2 linked regions of the Tamandua tetradactyla genome follow. The protein of the gene in region 1 interacts with the protein of each later gene in a pairwise test. Links are inferred from orthologs where the notes say so. Each region holds a gene or a part of one and is shown on either strand. Other genes may lie near its edges.

The links.
Region 2: the proteins of GCC1 (region 1) and ZNF276 interact in binary tests that used the Homo sapiens proteins (3 or more experiments, as listed by UniProt). The two-hybrid records come from large-scale screens. The link is inferred for Tamandua tetradactyla from reciprocal best matches to the Homo sapiens genes GCC1 and ZNF276.

Annotation. Positions count from the first base shown.
Region 1 is NC_135327.1:168,989,613-169,001,063, forward strand, and holds GCC1 (GRIP and coiled-coil domain-containing protein 1), read right to left. Parts: upstream 5,064-11,451; 5' UTR 4,974-5,063; coding exon 3,942-4,973; intron 3,100-3,941; coding exon 1,804-3,099; 3' UTR 267-1,803; downstream 1-266. Other genes in the region: ARF5 (ADP-ribosylation factor 5), read left to right, coding at 8,565-8,631, 9,169-9,249, 9,614-9,723, 10,189-10,260, 10,734-10,859, 10,985-11,071. UniProt on the Homo sapiens protein: Probably involved in maintaining Golgi structure.
Region 2 is NC_135342.1:83,814,695-83,826,132, forward strand, and holds the start of ZNF276 (zinc finger protein 276), read left to right. Parts: upstream 1-6,365; 5' UTR 6,366-6,458; coding exon 6,459-7,075; intron 7,076-7,463; coding exon 7,464-7,510; intron 7,511-7,609; coding exon 7,610-8,053; intron 8,054-9,130; coding exon 9,131-9,209; intron 9,210-11,438. Other genes in the region: VPS9D1 (VPS9 domain-containing protein 1), read right to left, coding at 1-119, 222-314, 1,867-1,942, 5,078-5,176. UniProt on the Homo sapiens protein: May be involved in transcriptional regulation.

The sequences.
Region 1 (11,451 bases):
CTTCTAGAGTTTAAAGCAGTAATTACAAAAGTTTCAAGTTCACCCACAAAACCCATGAGAAAGTTTTTTCTAGTGTTGTTGTCTACACAAAATATACACATACAAAGGCTAAGAAATTTGTGTTGCGAATTGATGCAGCTGAAGCACTGAGGGGATTCCTCCTGGATTGAGGTTCCTGGAGTATTTCCATTCTTCCATTCACCATTTACATTCATACTCTGTGCGTAGCCATACAAACCACTAAGGAAAGACACAAGTCAAGTCACTCAGGGTTACTGATTTCTTGTTTATGTTATCATTTGAACATATCACTTCGTTCTTTAATTCCATTCACTGTCAATACTCCAGGTCACCTAGCCTCCCATTCAGAACATTTAATCAAAGACTTTTGGACCCCAAACCCTCAGAAAACAGATCTCTATAGGGAAATAGCAGAAAGATTATTAGGCCAGTTAATGGAAAGTATGGATCTTTAGGATCCAAAGATCTCTATAAACAACAAGGCAAATCAGGGGAAAGGAGTCCCTCCTCTCCTTAAAAGCAGAATGAATACATTTGTGTATGTGCTGCTGAAGCGAGCACCAGAATGAAAATATTTATACAAGAGAAAATAAAAGAAATCCCTTTGAAGGAGGAAAAGTTACAACAACATGTATGGGAACATGAGGACTGCAGATTAAAATGCTATTACCTCCCTAAGGGGTGGTCTAAATACCCTGGTTACAGTAAACAACAGGCACCCTGGTTTCAGGGAGGTGGAGATTTAGCCAGAATGCTGGCTACAGGGCAGGAAGTACCCCAGCCCAGCCTCAGCTGAACTTTCATCACTTTCCTATAAGGATGACAATAACCTTTTGGAATCCTCTGCAACAAATCTTTCTCCTCCTTCCTTGTCCCTACAAAGGTAGAAACAGAGGTTAGCAAATCTCTGAGCTTGTTCCTTGTACCCCAGCAGGATTAGTTTACCAATCCAAACCCTCTTCATAAGAAGCTAAGATTTTGTTTCTTAATGAAAAGTTCAACACCGAGAAAAGACAGCAAAGTCAACCTTAGGCAGACAAATTAAGGAAGGAACAAGTATGAAGCCTATTTTAACCTTAGCTAGGCCCAAGCAAGTCACTCAGAAACTTTCTTAAAGTCAAAATGGTACTCAGGGCCCTCTCTAGGATGGTTATAAATGGCATGTTTTGTCTAGATCTTTTGGGTCACACCCTGGCCCTAACTAAAACAAACTTCCTGGTTCCAAGAACTCACTATTCCTTGACCCTTTGGACAAGTGGACAATCTGTCACTATTTCAAGCTTCCTAGCCCTTTCCAGCCTGGATTTATGTCCCCAGAAAATAGGAGCAGCATTGGACCAGACTCAGACTGTGATGGAGTAAATGGTCATTGTACATCTCAGGGCATGTTGAAAAATTAGTTAACTGAACTCCCTTCGGAGACACATTTACTCCTAGCTCTAAGCAAGAAGCATAATATTAAAACAACAAAAAAATCTTATTTTAAGAGATTCTCACCACTTCCTCAACTTCTGCACCTCAGTTTTAACCTCTTCCCCCTCACAATCCAAGACACACACGTACATGCCACCAGAAGATGTTATCCCAACACTTTCAGTATCCTTAGGGCCCAGATGCATTGATGGCATGTGGCAGAAAATCCCATCCCACAGTGAAGATTCCTCCCAGTTCAACACAGTGAAGAAATAAACAAAAACAGAAGAGGCAGAGGCAGTAGAAACCATAGTCTGCCCCTTCCCACACGAAGAGGCACAGAAGTCTCAGAAGTCAGTGAAAATGGCATCATCTCTTGCCAGAAGGCCACCAGCTACCACTGGCTGGGAGCCGCATTATCACTTGTTTCTCCTCTGGACTGAAGTGCAAGATAGTCAGAATGGCTGTGAGCGTCTGCTGGCGGCCCAGCATGTCAGGCAAGGTCAGAAAACGGTAGATGATGTTTTTGAGGTACTCCAGGTTGGCTCCCTCCCTACTCTGGTCCCTGATGTTCTTTTCAATGTGGCTCTGCAGGGCTCCAACCTCCTCACGATGCCGCTCCCCCTCCTCCAGCAGCCGATCCTGCAGCTGATGCACCTCTACCTCCAGCCTGTGCTTCTGTTTCCTGAGTGATGTGATCTCCACCTCTTTGCGGGCCAACTGCTCAGCATACAGGAAGAACGTGGGCTCGTTGGCCGCAGCAAGTTGCAGTGCTTGGGTCAGGCTATCCGAGGCAGATGTGTCAGCTGGGTCTCCAAGACCCCCACTACCCACAGGGCTTCTGCGTCCCGGCAGCCCAGAGGAAAAAGCCACAGAGCGCAGTTGCTCCAGCTCCAAATCCTTCTCCGCCAGGACAGTCAGGGCACGGTCCCGCTGCTTGTGCAGCTCCTCCTCCAGCTTCAGTGTGCGGTCCCTGAAGTCCAGCTGGCTCCGCTCCAGCTCCTGCCGGTGGAGCTGCTGCAGCCGGGACAGCTCCTGCTTCTGAGCCTCAGCCTCCTGTTGGTGCTGCCGCTCGAGTTCCTCACAGGATAGCCGCAGGGAGATATACTTCTCCTTTAGCTCTGCAAGCTGTTCCTGGGCTTCCTCCAGCTCCTTTGCCACGTTACCATCTTTGGTGCTCTTGTTCTTGAGGACGACCTGGGCCCTCATCTTGTACCTCTCAAACTCTTCCTTCAGCTGTTTCAGCTCCTGCTGATAGTAGAGCGCAGTAGCCTTCTCCCCATCAGCCGCCTCCGAGCTAGGCATTATCTCTAGGTCGCAGAGCTTCTCCACATCCAGGGTCATCTGGCTTTTCCTGGCTGCGACCTGCAGTAGCCTCTTTAGCTTCTCCATCTTATCCTTCAGGACATTGACATCCAAACTGGACTCCTCTCCATGGCTGTCTAGAGGGGATCTGCTGGAGGCAGCTAGAGCCAGAGTCCTGTTCTCCATGTCCAGCTGCAGCATGCGCTCCTTCAACTTCTGGATGGCCAGCTGGTCCTTCTGTTTGGCTTTCTCATAGGTACCAAGCAGTTCAGACACCTCAGATATTTGGTTCTCCAGGGCCGCCACCCTCTGCTCTTCCATCTGAGATTGCTGGCGGAGTTGATCCTCTACAAGGGCTGTCTGCAAAACAAGGGGACATGTTGTATTGAGAAAAGCCACAAAGACCTGTGGCAAATTTTGAGAAAGCAAGAGAGAGAGCAAAATGGGTCACAGGATGGGGTGGCCTGGCAAGAATGAGAACAAAGGATTTTTCTGCAGATTAGAGTGCTAACAAAAGTTCCTATGGCTTACTTGTTCTGTTCCCAGATACATATCATACCAAACAATATTAAGCACCTTTGTATATTTGGTGCTGTTCTGCTTTAATGCTCCCATTTTCCTCCCATCATACACTTAGCTCACATATAAAGTGCATTCCTGATGCTTATTATGTACACTCCCAAATCCTATTAAGAAATCATGTTTTTCCCTCTTCCAGTATTCCTAGAAATTTAAAACTGAGTTGGATCTTTCCATACTGTAAAGATGCACTGTGAAATAGCACAACTTTCCAGAACAGACAATCCTAGACTGAAAGCAATTACAAAAGATTGTTTCTTCTGAGAAAACTTATTTATTCCCCCATGAGTCCTCCATACACTATATTTCACTGAACAGTTGCCACTATACTGCTTCCCGGAGCACAGCTGACAAGATGCCAATAGCCAGAAGCTCAAAGCTGCCTGGCTCCCATACGGCCTACACTTAGAAATGTCATGTTCTATTGGAAGCTGGACACTAACAGTGGATACTGTCAACATCATACAGAACAGGATTTCCCAGAATTACCTAGTCAAACTTTACAGATAGTATCAAAAATGCCAGTGGAGCCACTTGGATCTAAAATTACAAATTACTAATGGAGGAAAAACCCTAATATTTTCCACTTCAGATTAATGACAAATGTATGAAGGGATAATTACCTTCCTCATTTCCTGCTGCAACTGAGCTTGGAAATGATTCTTTAAGCAAGCAGCCTCTTCCTGAAGCTCCTGCACCCGAGAGTCAGGTCGATTCTTCTCATCCCGAAGAGCCTGCAGTTCACCCTTCAGCATCTCCACTTCACGGCTCAGCTGCTTGGTCTGCAGTTCAAATCCTTCTATCTGATCAGCTGCATATGCTCGCCCCACCAGGGCTTCTCGGGTCTCTTCCAACCGGAGCTCCAAATCCTGGCGCTGGGTCCTTTCTTCCTGCAGCAGTTTCTGGAGCTCACGCAGCATCAAGGCATGGTCACTCTGCTCTTGGGCCCTATCATGCTGCTGCGAGATAAGTCGGGCTTTGGTTTCTGCTATCTGCTCCTGCAGCCCCTTCAATTCCCCCTCCAGAAGGCCCCTCTCCTCCTCTGCCTTTTTATTGGCATCCTCTAAGTCCTGTTTCATCTTCTTCTTGTCGGCCAGGTAAGAAGCCTCCATGCGAGACTTCTCCTGGGTGACTGTAGCCAAAGAGCTGGTCAAAGTAGCCAACTGAGTCTTGAGCTGGTGCAGTCGTTTGTCCACTTCCCCACCCGCAGAAGGTCCATCTCCACTGCTACTGCTAACGCCACTCTCCGACCCACTGGCCTCTTCGGACTTTGCAGGTGGCAGTCCACGGGCCGGTTTGTCATCTTCTACCCCAAGCTCACCCTTGGTACTGGTGAGACTGGCCGCAGTATCCAAGCTGGCGGCAGTCCCAGTGCTATCACCACTATGAGTGGAGCACCGGTCATCAACAGAGTCAGGAAAGGTGAGGCCTGGAGGTTGGACACCGGTGAGACCCAAATCCGCCTCGTGGGACACCGACAGCACTTTAATGCTGGCCTCTAGAGCCTCCTTCTCCTTCAGGAGGCTTTTATAAGCGCGGACAACATCCTTGAGCCGTGCCTGGTACTGGAGAAGCTGCTTTTTCTGCGACTCTATGGTATCCAACAGGTCTTTCTTGCTCGGACCGCCTCCAAAACTCATCCCAAACTTCTCCATGAGCGTGCTGGGCGGGCTGCTCCACGTCAGCGTTAGGCAGCTCGGGAGAGACCCGCGGAGACACGGGCGGGGACTTACTATAAGGCACAGGGAGAGAGTTGTCCGATTGCGGGGCGCACACCTGCTTCTTCCAGCTGTCGGGTACCGGATGCGGCGGCGGAGCAAGTTGGCAGGGGCGCCCGCGGTGTGCCAGGCCCGGCGGATGGGAGCGGGTCCTAGCCTCGACGCGCGCACGAGAGAACCGCAACCCCAGCACTTTCCGCACTGACCACTTCGCGCTCCCTTCTCACACAGCCCACAGCAGCTCGGGCCGCCCCCACTACCCTTGGCCCAGGCTCGGCCAAGGGCTTATACCGAGGGCTGTCGCATCACCGCTTACTATTACGGAGGCCCGCGACAATGGCGCTTTCGGGTCCGCTGGAAGTGACGACAGGACGCCGTCCGGGCTCCGCCCAGAGTGGGCGCGAGGTAGGCGTGGCTACTTCAAACTGTGGCTGAGGCAGTTGCCGGCTGAGAGCTCGGTGGGTTTACCGGTAGAGGAACCGTCTTGGGAAGAACGGAGTAAGCAAAGTCGAGGACACTGGGTGGTTTAATCTGGTGACGTCAGGGCGCCTGAAGTTGCCCTTCGGGCTCGATCAGAGAGCTTCAGGGGGCGATGTCGCCCTGCATTCCTGCCGAACACTCCAGGTGGGCGAAGCGTCCCTACTATTTGGGGCCCAGTAAGTATGCCCCTAAAGTGCCATAGAGTCCCTTTTTTACCATGGAAACTGCAGCTGTTTCTGGCTCAGTGCTTGCTTGGCACCTAATAGGCATATAATATAATAATTGTTAGCACTCTTCGTGAGTCGATTCAATAAATATTTATAGAGAGCACTTCGTATCGACCAAATGTATGCCAGTAACTTCACAAGAGTTTGCTACCGAGTCTTTGCAATAATTCTACTCAGTAACATTAATACAGTTTTACAGATATGAAAACATGAGGCACAGACAGGGTAAGTAACATGGCCAAGCTAGTAAGTTTAGGAATCCTAACCAGATCAGCCTGACACTGCATATTAGATGATGTGCCAGATGATAATACTGTGAAGGGACATGGCCCTGTCCTCAAGGAGCTCACAATCTAGTGAGGAACTGATATGCAAACACAAATCCTGCTATCATACCAGTATTGATGGATATTTTCAAAGTGGTACGGAACTTAAGACAGGAATAGGCAGAGAAGACTCTTGGGGAAAATACATTGGTTTTGGAAGATGAGAAACAGCTGCCCATCTAACTAGAAATGAAGGAAACCAGCATTCCCGGCAGAATGAAAAGATCACAAGAGGCATCTGAAAGCCTGGCTCATCCAGAAAGCATTAAGAATCACATCAAGACAGTAGCTTTGGGTATGTGAAGTAGGTGACAACAGATGGGAAGGCACAACAGGTGGGAACCCAATTAAGGCACTTCGATTTTATCTTGGGTGATAGGAAGATACCAAAGATTTTCATCTCAAGGGTAGTACCATCAGGACTACTATAGCAGGGTAAGATATCAGGAGCAGGAGTCAGGTGAGAAGGCTCAATTATAGGGAAGAGTTTTAGTAAAATAGGACAGTGACAACTGGGATGGAAAGAAAGGGGATGATTAAAGAGCCAAAGATGTAGAACTGACCTAACTTGGTGGCCACTAGCTGTGTTATTATATGGGTACTTTTTTTTATGCTAATGCAATTTATTATTATTTTTTGGATGCTAATGCAATTTATTTGCTTGCTTAACTGCAAGCTGCCAACGCAGGTAGTACCCAATAACTGGGTCAGGGGCATACAACACATTTAAAGATGGAGGATTCCTGAGTCTCTAAAGTCCAGCAGCCCAAGAGCCAATACAAGGAAGGCAAATAGCTTTAAGGAGAGGCCTCAGGAGCCTGTCTGACACAGTATCAGTAGAGGTCCAAAGCCGAGAAGGAGGTGAGGACAGCCGCAAACAAGCAGCACAGCACAGACATTGGAGGCAAGTGACTGAGCGAGCCTGCCTCTTATATTGGTACTTTTTAAATGTACTTTTTTTTTTTTTACCTGGTATGAGCCTTCCTAAGAATGGAATATATGACTGAAGAGCAAAGGAAAACCATGCACTTGTGCACACCTTGTTCCCAAAGTCTGTTCTCATTCCACTTTGCAGACCATGATGGGGCAGGCCCTAGAAGTGTGCTTCATTCCAGTTTCTTTGTGGCCCAGTAAAATCTAGCTGCCTAACACAAAACATTCAGATACAATTATCCCATTTACCATAATCTCCTGAGATAAATATGGCAGACATTGTCCTTTTATAGATGAGAAAACCACAGAATTGTGAGGGTTGTTTAAGCCAAACTCTCAAAAAAATGGCAGAACAGATTTAAACTAAGACTTGGAATGGTGCTGGCACATGGGAATACTCAATAAATATTTGTTGAGTAAATGAATGAATGAAGATTTTCTGATTCCCAACCTAGTCCATAAGCAGTTGATCCTAGAAGCCCACTGGGACTCCAGAATAAATATAATGTCTGTACTTGCTCCACTGAGCTCCCTATCAGTCCAGTTTAACCCAACAAGTATTTGCTAAGCATAATTTAGGTGCCTGGGTACTGATCCCAGTCTCTAGAAATTTAGGTTCTTTCCTATCTTGCTTTTCCTCTCAGATGCTAAGAGGGGAAGATTGTTTGTGAAGTTCTTTGGGTCTAGGGAGGCAAGAAGCCCATAAATCCTGGACAGGTGTGCATTAATCCAGGTTCCCATGTTCGTGGCAAAATGGAGAAAGGAACTTCAGAAAAGCTGCGTGGCCCCAGATTGAAAGGCAGTGTTCCCAGGGCATTATGGCGAAGGCAGAGTTCTCCAGCACTCTAGGGGTGGGTCTGCGACCATGCAGCCGAGAGCTACTGCTTGAAGAGCTATAAACCAGGCGTTTTAAAGAACCATGAAAGCTATCACCAGGGCATCTTCCCTCATCTCTGGCTCACTCCTCACCTGATTCTGCAGTCCCTTTATCACCTACGCATAAAGCGCCTCATTAGGAGCTGAGGAGGCAAAAGGGAGGAGTAAGAACGGAGTTTCCGCTCTCCTAAGGTGGGTGGTGCACGCAGTAGGTGCAGCTACCTTCCAAGGGCTGTAGCAGAGCCCAGAGTGGGCTGGACGCAATAGAACCAAAGTCCCAGCGGCGGGCCACTGAAGACGGGGACAGGGGGCTGCTTGGAAAGTTGAAGGCTTTCCTCAGCCCCGATCGGGCTGCTATATGAGCAGCCACAAACCTGAAAGGCGAGCTAGAAACTGCAGAGGCCTAGACCCTTTCCTTCTTCAAAGCCCGTGGAGGATTCAGCGAAGGTGCGGAGACTCAGCTTCAACTTCTCCAGGAGAGGGCTGGGGGGCGGAGCTGGGGGCGGAGCTGGGGGCCCGCGGTGACGTAGGGCGGGCCAGGACGCGCGGAGGAGGCGGCGGCGGCGGAGCCTCCTGCTGCTGGTGCTGGTGCTGCTGCTAGTGCTGCTGCGCCGGGTTCCCCCGCGGCCGGCGGCCTCCAGCCCGCACCCGGCGTCCGTGCCCGCACCCCTCCCCCGGGCCCCGCCATGGGCCTCACAGTGTCCGCGCTCTTTTCGCGGATCTTCGGGAAGAAGCAGATGCGGATCCTCATGGGTGAGGCAGACCAAGCGCGCGGCCCGGACCCGGGCGCCGGCCCCCGCGCAGCCCTCCCGCCCCCGCGCCCCTCCAGCCGGGCTCACCCGGATCTCTGGCCCCGCTGCACCCACCTCCTAAGCCCCCAGGACCGGCGCTGCTCTCGGGTGGGTCCGGTCTGCAGCGCCGCCCCTGAGGCCTGAGACCGGGAGCGGCGGGCCTGGGTGGGGTGAAGCGCCCTCCGCCCCGGCCCGGCTGGTAAGAAGGGAAGATTCCGCCCTTGGGGACGCCTTTTAGAGGAGCGCGGCCCTCCTCCGGTGTCCCTTACTCCCGCAAACCCCAACCCCAGTTTTCTCCCTTCTTGCCCAGTTTGGGGGCAGGAGTTGGCGCACATCATCCTGACTGCCCTCAGGCCCCTGGGGTAGATAACAGCGCGCACCTGGACGCGCTCCGGCTCTCCGCCCCCGTCACCACCCGCAGTCCTGACCTCTCCCCTTCCCTGGTCTCTAGGGGGCTCCCTCATTCCCGTTTCCATCTCTCTGCCCCTCTCCGTTGTAGTTGGCTTGGATGCAGCTGGCAAGACCACAATCCTGTACAAACTGAAATTGGGGGAGATTGTCACCACCATCCCCACCATAGGTGAGCCGGGGAGCGGGAGCACCACCGCGATCCTTCTCGGGGTCTGCTCCCTGTTCTGCCTGAGGCCCTTATCTCTCTCCCCGGAGCTGACCCTGACACCAGATACGGCTACTTGAGAAGTGGGTCTGGATGTCTCTCTACTTGCGGGGTGGGGGGGTGGGGGGGTGGGGGGGGCGGGAATACTGCGGGAGGCGGGGTGAATGTGAACTAGCCCCGCCCCAGCTGTTGACTGCCGGTTCTCTGGGGTTCTTTTCCCCTGTTCTTGATCACTGCCCTCTGGTTTTGTGTCCCTGCTGAGATCCAAGTAGTTTTAGTGAGTCCTTCTTTACAAGACTTTTTTCCATATTTTTCCAATTATCTGTAGGCTTCAATGTGGAAACAGTGGAATATAAGAACATTTGTTTCACGGTCTGGGACGTGGGAGGCCAGGACAAGATTCGACCTCTGTGGCGGCACTATTTCCAGAACACTCAGGTAGGAGCTTGGGAACCCCAGGGAAGAGAAAGTAGGGCTAGGACTGAGAAGGTAGCCTAGCTGGGTCCCCAGGCCAGGTTAAAAAGAAAAAAACCTTTCTTCCTCTTCCCCCTTTTCTTGGCTGGCCTCTACTCATCCTTCTGAGACTTCATCCTCTTAGGCTTCTGAGAAACAGAGCCCTGGGTCCACGCTGCCTGACTGAGCTCGCATCACCATAGCTTTATTGTCTGTTCCCTTGAACACCTTTTAGCTAGACCACTCACTCCTTGAGAACAGAGGCTGCATCCTTTGCTGTGGTGTCTCCAGCTTGTGCTAGGATTTCTGCAGGGCCTTGGTGAAAGCTTGCTAGACAAGAGGGATTTAGGCCCAATTAAAGAAGGGAAGATGAGAGAGAGGAGCAGACTAGAGCATGTTCCAGTTGGGGATGATCGTTCGTTCCTTTTTCCTTTCTTGCTTCCCATCCAGGGCCTCATCTTCGTGGTGGACAGTAATGACCGGGAGCGGGTCCAAGAATCTGCCGATGAACTCCAGAAGATGGTGAGCACCTGGAGCCCTGGAAACTGAGCCCTCCACGTAGGGGACAAAGAGATCTTGGGGCTAGCGTAGATGTTTCTCACAGACCTCGAGAGCTAAGAATGTACGTGTTTCTTTGTGGACACATTATGTATCTCACCCTGTTTTCAGTTTTGGTAAAAAAGCACAGGACTGATTTTTTTCCTTGAATTCTTACCTTCATGTCCGACTGTGGGAAGTTGGGTGGGAGAGGGGGTTTACATGGTGGAGAGAAACATCATCTGACGTTTTGGTTTTCCCATTTGGAAATGTGGTCATTTTGACTAGGGCATGTACTCAAATTAGAAAAATGCTATTCCTAGTCTTAAGACCTAGGGAGTCTCAAGCTCAATTATAATCCTAGAAGGTAGAATGGGGGACTCCCAGCATAGCAGGGAGAAGGGACTCTGGAGACACTGATGGAACCTCAGATCCTGCCACCTCTTCTACCCTCTTAGCTGCAGGAGGATGAGCTGCGGGATGCGGTGCTGCTGGTATTTGCCAACAAGCAAGACATGCCCAACGCCATGCCTGTGAGCGAGCTGACCGACAAGCTGGGACTACAGCACTTACGCAGCCGCACAGTGAGGGTCCCACCCCACCCACTGGATCCTGCCTCCCCAGGGGAGCCACACAGGCTGGGGCAAAGATGTAAAGGCATCCACTTTCCTTCCCTGCTGTTGACCTCTTCCTTTCCTTCTCCCCACAGTGGTATGTCCAGGCCACCTGTGCCACCCAAGGCACAGGCCTGTACGATGGGCTGGACTGGCTGTCCCATGAGCTGTCGAAGCGTTAAGCAGCCAGGGGCAGGCCCCTGCTGTCCGGAAGCTTCCACGTGCATCCCCGGGATGACCAGACTCCCGGACTCCTCAGGCAGTGCCCTTCCCTCCTACTCCTTCCTGATAGACACAGGCCTCTGCTCCTGCCTGTATGTTCTCTCTGTTGTTGGAGCCTGGAGCTTTGTTCTCTGGGCACGGAGTGGTCTACTCTCTTGCCTGCTGGGACCTGCAGAAGGGGCTTCCAGAGGAGGAGCACAAGGATCTGGGTTTGCTTTTTTTTTTATTTTATTTTTTTCCCGTTTTGGGTATACCCTTGGGGCCAGGTTGGGGGAAGGTGAGGGCTCTGGGTGGTGCTATGATGTGGCACTGGATATTAAGTAATAAATTTGCCGTGGTT
Region 2 (11,438 bases), on another chromosome or scaffold:
CTCAGGGGGCAGAAAAGGAGAGAGCTTGCCCCCTTCATCTGAGTACACCCGGCGGTGTCGGCTGGCAGGTGAGAGGACTGGCGCAGCCACGGGCATGGCAGGCTTGAGGCCTGTTTTCCCTGTAGACCATACACAGCCAGGGTCAGCAGAATGGCCCTACGTTCCACAAAGATTCAGACTTGGGGGGGAGGCTCCAGGAAAATCTCCTGCAGGAGACCTACCAAGTTTGGCTGCTGTTGACTGGGCCCTCTCCAAGCACTGCTCAGCAAGCTTCAGCATCTTGGAGGTATCTGGGGGCACTGCTTCCCCAGCTTCTAGGGAGCAGGAGAGAAGACAGACAGCTACCTTCAGCTTGAACACTAACTGGATTCTTGTTGAAGTAAAAAAGGCAGTTAGAAAGCCTTCCTGGGTTTGCTGCAAGCTTCCGTGACAGGTTCAGGACTCAGAATGACCTTTGAAGTTCTCTACTCTGCATCCTACGGCCCTCTGCAAGGTCAGCCGAGCAGCTGCCAGAGGGCCTTGTACAGTGACAAGGAGATGCTCAAGTGGGATTGCCTCAGTTCTCGCCATCTCATCTCTCACCTGCCTGCGTCTGCACAGAGCTGCTTTCCTGCAGGCTGCCTTCACGCACTTCTGGGCACCCCTCACACCTCTCCAGAGGTCTTTGCTCTGCCTACACAATCCTCTGTGGACCACTCCTATTAGCAGACCCACACACTGTAGGAGCTGCTGCCCCCAAACCCTTCCTTGGACCCCACCAGCTCCAGCTCCAACCTGGCTCCCTGCCGCCCTTAACAGTGAGCCCCTCAGATACTCCCATTTCCCCCCCGCTCCACTTTTCTTTCTAGCTTCACAACTCCCACTGCAGCTGTCTTACCCACTCCCACCTTGCCTTCCTTTCTGTGTCCTTCCTCCCCTTTGGAGCATCTTAGAGCTCAGCAGTCCCTAGGGAAATGCCTGTTTGCCGGAGACTTAGTTTATACCCATGCCTTCCCCCCTTTCTCTGACCCCTACTTCTGCATCCAATGGGCTGCTGGACAGCTGCACCCATGGGTCTTGGCACCTCAAACTTACTGTATGCAAGACTGAACTCTGTTCCTCTCCTCACAAATCTGTTCCCTGTAGTCCCACCAGCAGCACTGCCCCTCCCCAGCGGCTCACACCCCCAGTCCCATGGGTGGAGTCCACCTTTGCAGTATGTCCTCCAGGCCCTCACCCCTCCTTACACTAGGAGTCTCCCCAAGGCTCAGCTTCCATCCACAGCCCCCCTCAAGCCAGAATGACCCCACCTCTACCCCCAGGCCCACAGAACCCTGTATCTCTGCCCAGCGCTGGTGACATCCCTCCTCTGGTTCTCTTGTGGACACACTGCCCATTTCCATCTAGGACCCAGGCCCATCCCTTTGTGTGGATGGCTCTGTTCCGTCCTCTGCACCCCCTCCTGTCACCTCCTCTGACCCTCCCACCATGCCTCCATGCTTCTCTGGCCTCTCGTCCACAGCACATCCTGCCCGCTCCAGGTCACACTCTGGCAATGATGCTTACAGAGCACAAGGGTCCACCTTCCGCTAACGACATAGGGGACTTCAGGCTGGGCACCCACCAAGGGCTGAGGACCCCCTTTCGTTTTTTATTTAATTTAATTTTTATTTATTTATTTATTAAACATGACAACATACATTTTTACCATATGATCATTCCATTCTTGATATATAATCAGTAACTCACAATATCATCACATAGCTGTATATTCATTATCATGATCATTTCTCAGAACATTTGCATCAATTCAGAAAAATAAAAAGAAAACAGAAAAAAATTCATACACATCACCCCCTTCCCCTTCCTGTGGACCCTTCCCCTCACCTTTGCTGGCGTCCACTTCGTCCAGCAGCACCTGGGAGATGTAGTGGATGCTCCTCAGGTACGCGGCATATGCCTCCTGGGCATGGGAGAGACAGGTGGGTCAGCCAGCGGAAGCCAAGAGCCTTTGGGAAAGGTGGCAGAGTGGGGCCTGCATGTCTCTGAGACACAAGGGGGCAGCCAGGCTCCTGCCACTCTGCAGGGGTCCCCTAATCGCAGATGACCCTCACTCCTCCAGATCTGAGGGGGATGCCAGCCCCTGAGAACATAAGGACACTTCTCTCTATAAGTGCTGCCTCAGGCACCGAGAGGGGTCCAGCTGGCACCCATCCCTCCTTGCTGTGTTTCTCTCCAGCACAGGGAGGAAGTAAGATTCTCATTTGGTGGGACTGGGTAGACAGTCTCAACAAGTGCACCCACGTTTCAGTCTGAGTGTCCTTTCTGTGCTCACAACGCAGGCACCATTTGTTCAGGGGCTTTACAAGAAACAAAAAGTCCTGGGTTGTATATGCTAGACCCTCCTCCTGCCTTGGCGTGGGGGCCTGAACCATGCATCTAGTTTGGACCTGGTCTTGGCCCTACTCTGCATTCTGGGGTGTGGCCCACTTTAAGTAAGGTCTCTTCAAGACGTCACTTCAGTGACAGTGTGGCCCTAATGAATCAGCTGGGCCTTTAATCGGGATCACTGGAGTCCTTCATAAGCAGAGCCAAAGTCAGACGGAGAAGCCTCGGAATCAACAGAACCAGAAGAGGGAGGAGAAGGTGCCACCATGTGCTTTGTGGTGGGACGGAAAAGCCCAGAAACCCCAGAGTTTGCTGGCCAGCCAGGAGATGCCAACTCTGGGAGGAAGCGTACCTTTTAGGCTCTACAAATTCCTGTTACTAAGTCAACCCATTATATGGTATTTATTTTAGGGGCTAAGAAACAAAGACATATTTTTGGTACTGGAAAGTGAGATGCTGCTATGATAAATACTAAACGTACAGAAGCAGCTTCAGAATTGGGTAGGAGGTAAAGGCTAGAAGAATTGTGAGGTGTTAGATACAAAAAGTCGAGTGCACTGAAAAAGCTGTAGGTAGAAATATGGATGCCAAAGGTATTTCAGATGAGGCCTTATAAAGAAATGATGACTGTGTTATTGGAAATTGGGAGAAAGGCAATCTTTCCATAAAATGGCAGAAAACTTGGCAAAATTGCGTTCTGATGTCAGATTGAAAGTAGAACTTGTAAGTTATGAACTTGGATATTTAGCTGAGGTGATTTCCAAGCTAAGGAAGGTATAGCCTGGCTTCTCCTTGCAGCTTACTGTAAAATATAAGAGGAAGGGGTTAAACTGAGAACTGAACTCATAAGCACAAAGAAACCAGAAATTGGCAGTTTGGAACATTCAGTTCATTCGACTACCTGCTCTAACACTAGGGCCAGAGGCGGCTCTGGCAGAAGCTTCTCTGAGCTTCTGGGAAGGGAGTCCCCACAGAACAGGGCTTCACAGGAGGGTTTAATGGAACAACTCTATGCGAAAGAAGGTGTGGCTGAACGTGGATTAGCCAGACTCTTGAGTGGAAATCAGGATGGGAAACGCAGTTATCCAGGATCTATACAAAGTTCTACCATCTGATGGCTTGGACCCATTTGAATTACACATGTCTTTTGCAAAATTTTCATGGGCAGAACCACTGTCAGCCCAGATTGAAAGGGACAGAGAAAGGACAAATTGAAGGAAGAACAATTTTAAGACCAGAACCATGGAAGCAAAGGTCTGGACTGAAAAGACCTCAGGCCAAGCGAGGGAGCCCACCTGCTACGTGGGAAGGGCAGGTCATCTACCCCAGTGCTTGGAGGAGGCGGCCCAAGCTCAGGGACAGTGCTGCTGCCCCAATGTTCAGAGACGGTGGGGTCTGTGTTCCAGTGTTTGCAGAGAGACTGGCCGCCATCCTGAGCTTTGCAGACCTTCACCCCAGTGTTTCGGGTGAGCATGGCCACTGCACAAGCTCTTAGAAGGGTATGCCGGCCCCACTATTGTATATTGGGAGCAAATAACTTGTTCTCCAGGTTTCACAGGTCGACAGACAAAGGGAATTAGGCCCCAGGACAGACATACCCATAATCAATTTTGATGAGGCTTTCTACCAAGCACTATTAGTGGAACAACTTAAGGCTTTTAGATGGTTGTGATGGAACAAATGTATTTCGCACGTTGGAAGGATGTGTCTTTTGGGGAGCTAGAGAGTGGACTGTGGTGGGCTGACTCATGCTTCAGTACAGACACATTCTTGGTCTTGGGTGTGAACCCGTCCTAAGTAAGATCTCTTCAAACTGTTTTTTCAGTTAAGGTGTGGGCCCAGTGAACCAGGCTGGGCTTTAATTCGGATTACTGGAGTCCTTTGTTAAGAGCAGGGGGAAAGTCAGAGGGAGAGAAGCCGTGGGGAGCAGTAGAAGCTGGAAGTCAGAGGAACCCAGAAGAGGCTACCATATACATTGTTAAGTAATGGAAAAGTCAAGGAGCCCCAAAGAGAGCTGGTCAGCCAGAAGACAGGGGCGCTGGGAGGAAGCAAGCCTTCCGGGCTGAGACGTGAGCCCATAAATCCCCCTTGTGAAGCCAACCCGTGGTGCAGCGTTTGCTGAGCAGCCGGGACACTGAGGCACCGGGAAGCCCCGTTCCGGAGCCCCAGAGGAGGGGCTCCCTGGGCAGATGCAAAGCACCGGACGTGTTGGAGCCTCCGGCCTCGGGCAGGAGGGACCACGGCACAGCGCTCTGTCCTGGCATTCCAGGTCCCTGGCCACTCACTACCTTCAAGCCCACACCTGGAGATCAACCAGGGTGGCGCGGATGCCGGGCAAGGTTTCTGACCTGTGGGGCGGCTGGCCGAGGGTCGAGACGGGGCAAAGTGCTGGGCCCCGGCGCCGGAGGGTGAGCGCGGCTCGCGCGGCCCTGCCCGCTTCTCCACCTGCCCCGCCTGGGCCGCGCGCCCTCCCGCTCGCCTGCGTCTCTTCCCGGGCAAGGTGGCCCGAGCGGCGCCGGAGGAGCTGCGAGCGGCCCTTTCCCGGAGCGCGGGCCCCGGGCTGCCGCGAGTCTCCTTCACAAACGCACCGCGGCCACGTCGGCCGACCCCGACGGGTCGCGCGGAGCCGAACCGGGCCCTCCCGCCAGTCCTCCGCCCGCCGGGCCCCCGCGCCGCCGCTCTCCGCGACCCCGCCCTCGCCGCGCCTCACCCGGGGCCGGTTGCCGGTGTCCAGCTCGATGGCCCCGTTGGCGAGTTTCATGGCGTTCTGCAGCGGCTTCGCCGTGCTGTCCCCGGCCGCAGCGGCCATGGCGCCGGGCGGCGGGGACAGCGGAGGCGGCGGCCGCGGGGCGGGGCGGCGGCCCCGGCCGGGAACCCGGAACCCCGCCAGCGAGAGCTCAGGAGCCGCCCGAGCAGCGGACCGGCGGAAGGGGCGGGGCCTCCGCGACAGCACTTCCGGTCCCCGCCCACCGCCCGAGCCTGTCTCGAATCCCGGCTGCCTGCCGGTGGCGGAGAGCGCGTTTTGCGGCGCGAAGTTTGGCCCGCTACCCGGACTGGCATGTGGGAAGGGAGAGGCGTGATGAGAGCCCTCTCCTACCGCCCTGAGCCGGGGTCCTCGCTCTTGCTCTGTGAGGCGCAGTCGGCGCAGGCCCCTCCGGCGTTTGCCCGCCCGCGCCTCAGTTTTCCTTCGGTAAAGTGGGGATAAGAGCAGGTCGGCGCTCCCACACGGGCGTCCGCGAAGCCGAGCGTTCAGCACGGCGCCCGGCCCGGGGACAGCGCTTCCCGGGCGTTAGCAGCTGCCCTAATAGAAGGGTCGGGGCCGCCGGACTCGAACTTCGCCTGGTTCGCGCCCCTCCCGGGCAGCTTCGGCCCCGCCCTTCGCCACTTTCCGCTCCGCCTCCCTGGGAGCGATCTTGGTGGAGCCTGTAGACGCCGGGCCGAGCGGGGACGAGCCGAGCCGAGCGCGGCCGAGTGAGCCGAGAGGACCCGAGCAGGGCGGACCGAGTGGGGCCGAACCGCGCCGAGAGGAGCCGAGCAGGGCGGATCGAGCGGGGCCGAACCGCGCCGAGAGGACCCGAGCAGGGCGAACCCAGCGGGGCCGGGAGCCTGCCGGGCCTTTTCCCCGGGCCGCGCCATGAAGCGCGACAGGCTTGGCCGCTTCCTGTCGCCCGGGGCGGCCCGGCAGCGCGGGGTCCCTGGCGGCGGTGGCCGGGCCCGGGGCCGCCCCTCCCGCAGTGGGGGGCAGAGCGCGGGCGGGACGGCGGCGGCGCGGCTCGGCTGGGGCCCGACGCGGGCCTGCGGGGCGACCGAGGAGCTCGCGGAGCAGGCAGGTGGGTGGGCCGCCGCCGCGTCTCTCGGGATTCCGGGACGCGGGCGGGGCCGCAGGCCGGGGTGGCGGAGGCCTCAGAGCCGCCGTCTGAGGGTCTCCGTACCTCCCGGGGCGGCGGCCCCAGGGCCCGGGTTGGCTCCAGCGCTGCTGCCACCTCGGCCTCCGCGCGCCCCGCCCGAGGCCCAGCGCGTCGGTAAAGCTGAAGAGTGCACGGGCGACGTGAGTTCGGGGTCCGGCTCGGGGCGGGGAGGGAGCGGCATCGATGACGTCTGGCGGTGGAAAGCCCACCCAGGGAGCCTGCTTCTGGCCCCCCGGGCCAGCGTGGGGAGGAGTGAAGTGGCTCTCTGGAGGCGTGGGGGCTTCTCGGGCCCGGGCGCCTCTTCGGGGCCTGCGTGCTTCGGCTGTAGCGCCCGGAGCCCTGCCGCTGGCCCAGGCCCCCGGTGCCCTTCTCCGCTTCAGGCCTGGGAGGTTGGTGAGGGGGCCTTGGGGTACTAGTGTCCTGGGTGCCCGTGGCATGAGCAGCTCGGAGCCGGCCTCATGGCTGACCAGAGGCATTTCTCACCCACCCTCCCCAGGACCAGGCCGGGCCTTTGCCATGGGGCGCTGCCGCCTCTGCCATGGCAAGTTTTCCTCACGGAGCCTGCGCAGCATCTCTGGCAGGGGGCCTGGGGAGGGCGTGGAGAGCCCACCTGCAGGGGAGCGGGTGTTCGTCAAGGACTTCCAGCGTTTGCTGGGGGTGCCGGTCCTCCAGGACCCCGCGCTCTCGCCGTTTGTCTGCAAGAACTGTCATGCCCAGTTCTACCAGTGCCATGGCATCCTCAGGGCCTTCCTGCAGAGGGTCAACGTCTCTCACACGGGACAGCAGAAGCCGGGCGGAAAGTAAGCACCCATCCATCTGTTTGTCCAGTGGGTGCTGCTCTCATGGCTGGGAGTGTGGCAGACAGTTAGACATAAAAGCTTGGCGAGAACGTTTGTTCTGTTGGGGGACTAGCGTACAGTCAAGTGAGCCCCAGACGTGAGGCATAGGAACAAGGAGACAGACAGGAGGGCAGTGAGGATGGGGGATGTGAGCAGTGGGCAAGGAGGGGCCTGAGGGTGAGGAGGCAACCATGGGAAGAGGTCAAGTAGTCCAGGAACAAAGGACTGGTTGGAGGACTCCTGCCGGGTGTGTTAAGACCTTGGGCACCCACTCGCCCTAAGCCCCCAGGTGCAGCTGCCCCCTCCTGCATCTCCTCCCACTCTAGTGATACACCATGGTTCTTTGCAGGGTCAGTGTCCAGCCGCAGACTGCCACAGAGGAGGGCGTGTGTCTGGGTGAGTGTGTACCCGGGCAGGTGGGCTGGGCAGGTGTGTGGGTATGGTAGCCTGGGTACTGACGGGCTCGGGCCTGTCGTCCCTGTTGTTTCCTTGCAGTGGACGCTGTCACATCAAGCTCCGAGTGTCTGCATGGCCTGGTGGGCTGGGTGCACAGGCACGCGGCCAGCTGCGAGTCCCTGCCCAGCCTACAGAAGGCACTTTCCTCTCAGTACTGCGGTGTTGTCCAGGCCTTGTGGGGCTGTGGCCAGGGCCACAACTACACCATGGACACAGACACTGGCTGTGGGGCCTTCTTGTTGGACAGTACACTGGCGGTCAAGTGGGAGTGGGACAAGGAGTCAGCCATGCGACTCCCCCAGAAGAGAGGCCCCTCCCTTGCTGGGGCCACCCTGCAGGATGCCCCAGGCAGAGGACTCACAGCTGGGGCTGAGAGGACACTGCCTGGCCCGGTCACAGCCCTGCCTTCTGTGGATAGCAGCCCTGTGGGGCCTGCACAGAGCCCTCAGCCTCAACCAAGCCCACCCCCCAGCGGGGCCCCAGGTAGGAGCCGATCGGGCCTGTGCCCGTGGGGCATTCCGCTGTGGGAGGTGGTCATGGTGGTGCGCTGCTGGAGGGGGTTGATGGGGGCTGGCAGGGGGCTGGGCCTGCCCCCCCTCTGAGGTCTCTGCACTGCTTGCCACGTCTGAGGAGCACGTGGTGGCCTCAGTTGCTTCATGAATAGGACCCGTTTCAGTTGTTTCCGAAAAGATGCTCTTTGTGTCTAGTTTTCTCTAGCTTGTGCCCTAGACCGAGGGCACTGAAGAGACACGAAAATGGGGCCTCATTGTGGGGTGCAGGGGAAGAGGACAGACTTTTCCTGTGAGGCTGATGCTTTGGGCCAGCTGCAGGACATTTCCTGGACCTCAGCCAGGGCCCTGGTGACGCCCCAGTACGGCAGTGTGAGCACACAAGAGGGGAAGACACAGGCCTCTTGTTTAGGCCAGGGTCTTGTGTTGGGGTGGGCTAAGCTGCTGCTTGAGGTTGTTGGTCCTGGGAGAGCTTGACCAGCCTTGGCTGCTCCCATCTGCCTGTGCACTGGTCCACATGCATGTTCAGATTTTGCGTCCAAGTCACAACACATAGAGAACACAGCTACCCAGGTGGCTCAGAAAGAGAGAGGTGTGGATGCCGATGAAGTGGCTCGGGTTGGGAAAGGGTGCATGGGGCCTTGGGAAAGGGGGCTAGTGGGGTTGGGTGGAGATTTGCTGTGATTGTGATTGTTACAGCAGTTGGGTATGGCTGTCATTATATGTATTGCTTTGCTAAGTATGCATTTAAAACATCCAAATCACCCACAAAGAATAGTTAATTCACAACCCTACCTCAACAGCTAAATCTGAGTCCTGGGGAGAACATGCCCCTGGGTTTCTGGTACCCAGCATGGCAGGTGCCCTTGCTGGATTCAGAGGTTGGGGGGGTGGCTCTGAAGCTGGGCAGGGCTTGGCGAGAGGGACTCTGTGTGCACACAAGGGAGGTGCCTCCCATGTGGACCCCCCCATCTGTGCTCTCCCAGCCCCTTTGCAGGTAGCAGGCCCTCCACTCTCTGTTGGTGACAGGAGCTTTTTCTTTGTTTCTCAGGGCACTTGAGTGAGAAGCAGCTTCCGTCTTCAGCCTCGGATGATCGGGTAAAAGACGAGTTCAGTGACCTTTCTGAGGGGTGAGAGAAGAGTGGGTTTAAATAGTCTAAAATTTCTTCTTCGAAAACCAAACGCGGCTACCTGGGCGCCCACTTCCAGGCCTTCTCCCTGCAGCTGCGGCGGGAGGACTGCCCGGGCTGGAGGTCTCTGTGGCTTCAGGGCTCCTGCCTGGGGCATCTCAGGTCTCGGAGGCCTTCAGCCAATGCAGCTACAAAAGTGGGCAGGCCATGGCTTGTGTAACCTCGGCAGCGTGGAGGCTGTGTTGTTAAAACTGTCCTATGGTTGGCTCCTTTTCTGTTGCTTGTTTGTGCTTCCCTTAAAAGCTTGAGTTTTGTCTCAGTCCGAATGTTACTCTCCCACGAGGAAGCCAGGTTCAGGTCCTTTTTTAGGACTTGAAGCGGGGGTTTTGTGCTTGAGGCGGCAGAGGAAGCCAGTGACCACCCTTTACAGGTTCTCTTGCTTCCTGTGACCATCACCTGCCTTTGAGCTGAGCCCCTGAAGGTGGTGGTTTGTTCCCCAGGCTGGGTCCCTATACCCTTTTCTCCAGACCCCTGGAGCCTGGCTGGAAAATAGAATCCATCCCTGGCAAATGAGTACGGGGACCAGCACATTGTTGGTACTGGATGAAATAGGGACTTGATGAAGAATTACTGAGGGTTGCTAGAAGGAACAGAGTCTGTGCTGGAAATGTAGCCTGTGGCCACATGTGGCCTGCTAATCCTGGTTCTGCTGGCTAACTTTGGGCCTCTCTCTGTCCAGGCCCAGGGTGGCCTGTAGTGGAAGTGTGGGCAGCTTCCCTGTAGGATCTGGCTTGGCTCAGTTTGGTGCACAACAGAGATTTAGTGGCAATTTATACTTTAGTGTACAGGTGACGGGCATGTAGATTGTTTTCCTTGCCTTCGTAAACTTCCTGGGCAGCCCACTGTGGCCGGGGTCTTCACTCCCTGCTGGGCAGAGTTTGAGGACCCTGATTCTAGGAGAGCCTGGCTTATGGGTGGAATTTTTTTTTTCATGTTCATTTTTTTAAAAATTGTGGTTTAATTTCTAAAATGTAAAGACATTTTAATCAATTTATTGTTTTAATTTTAAAGACTTTTTAATTGTGGTAAGACATATGTAATATAAAAATTAAAACCATATTAAATGGAGAATTCTTTGACAGTAAATTCATTGACAACACTGTGCAACTTTCACCATTTCCAGACAGCTTTTATTTTCCCAAATCAAAACTCATCCTCATTTAGCAGTAACTTCCCATTTCCACCTCCCCCAATCCTAGGTAACTACCGTTCTGCCTTTTGCATCTTTGAATTTGCTTATTCAGAGTATTTTATGTAAGAGAAATCAAACATTATTTGCTATTTTCTGCCTGGCTTGTTTCAGTCAACCTGATGTTTCTAAGGTCCACCAACGCTGTAGTATGTACCAGCACTTCACTTCTTTTTACAGCTGAATAATATCCCTTTGTACAGATAGACCACATTTTGTTTATATATTTATCTGTTGACAGACCCTTGGGTAGCTTCCAACTTTTGGCTATTGTGAATAATGCTGTGATGAACATCAGTGTACAAATTTCTGTTTTGAGTCACTGCTTTCAGTTCTTTTGGATATATACATAAGAGTGGAATTGCCAGGTCATATGGTAATTCTTTTTAACTTTCTGAGGAACCACCAAAGTATTTTCCATAGTGGCTGCACCATTTTACATTCCCACCAGTGATGTACGAGGGTTCCAGGTACTCTGCATCCTTGCCAACACTTGTTATTTTCTAAGTAATAGCCATCCTTGTGGGTGTGAAGTGGCACCTCATTGTAACTTTAATTTTCATTTTTCTAACGGCTGATGATGTTGAGCATCTTCTTACATCATCAGCCGTTGTAAGAAGATGCTCAACATCTTATTGGCATGTTGAATATATGGCTTATTGGCTATTTGAATATATTCCTTGGAAAAATCTTTGTTTATATGCTTGGCCCATTTTTAGTTTTTTTGTGTTGTTGTTGCTGCATTGTAGGAGTTCTTTATATGTTCTGGATATTAAAACCTTATCAGATACATCGTTCTCCCATTCTGTAGGTTGACTTTTCACATTCTTGACAATAGTCTCTCTATAAGAGTTATGATTTTAATTAAGTTCATTTTATGTATTTTTTTTTCCCTGTTGTTCCTTGTGCTTCTGGTATAAAATCTAAACATCCATTGCCTACTAAGGTCCTGAAGATACTTCTCTGTGTTTCTTTGTAAG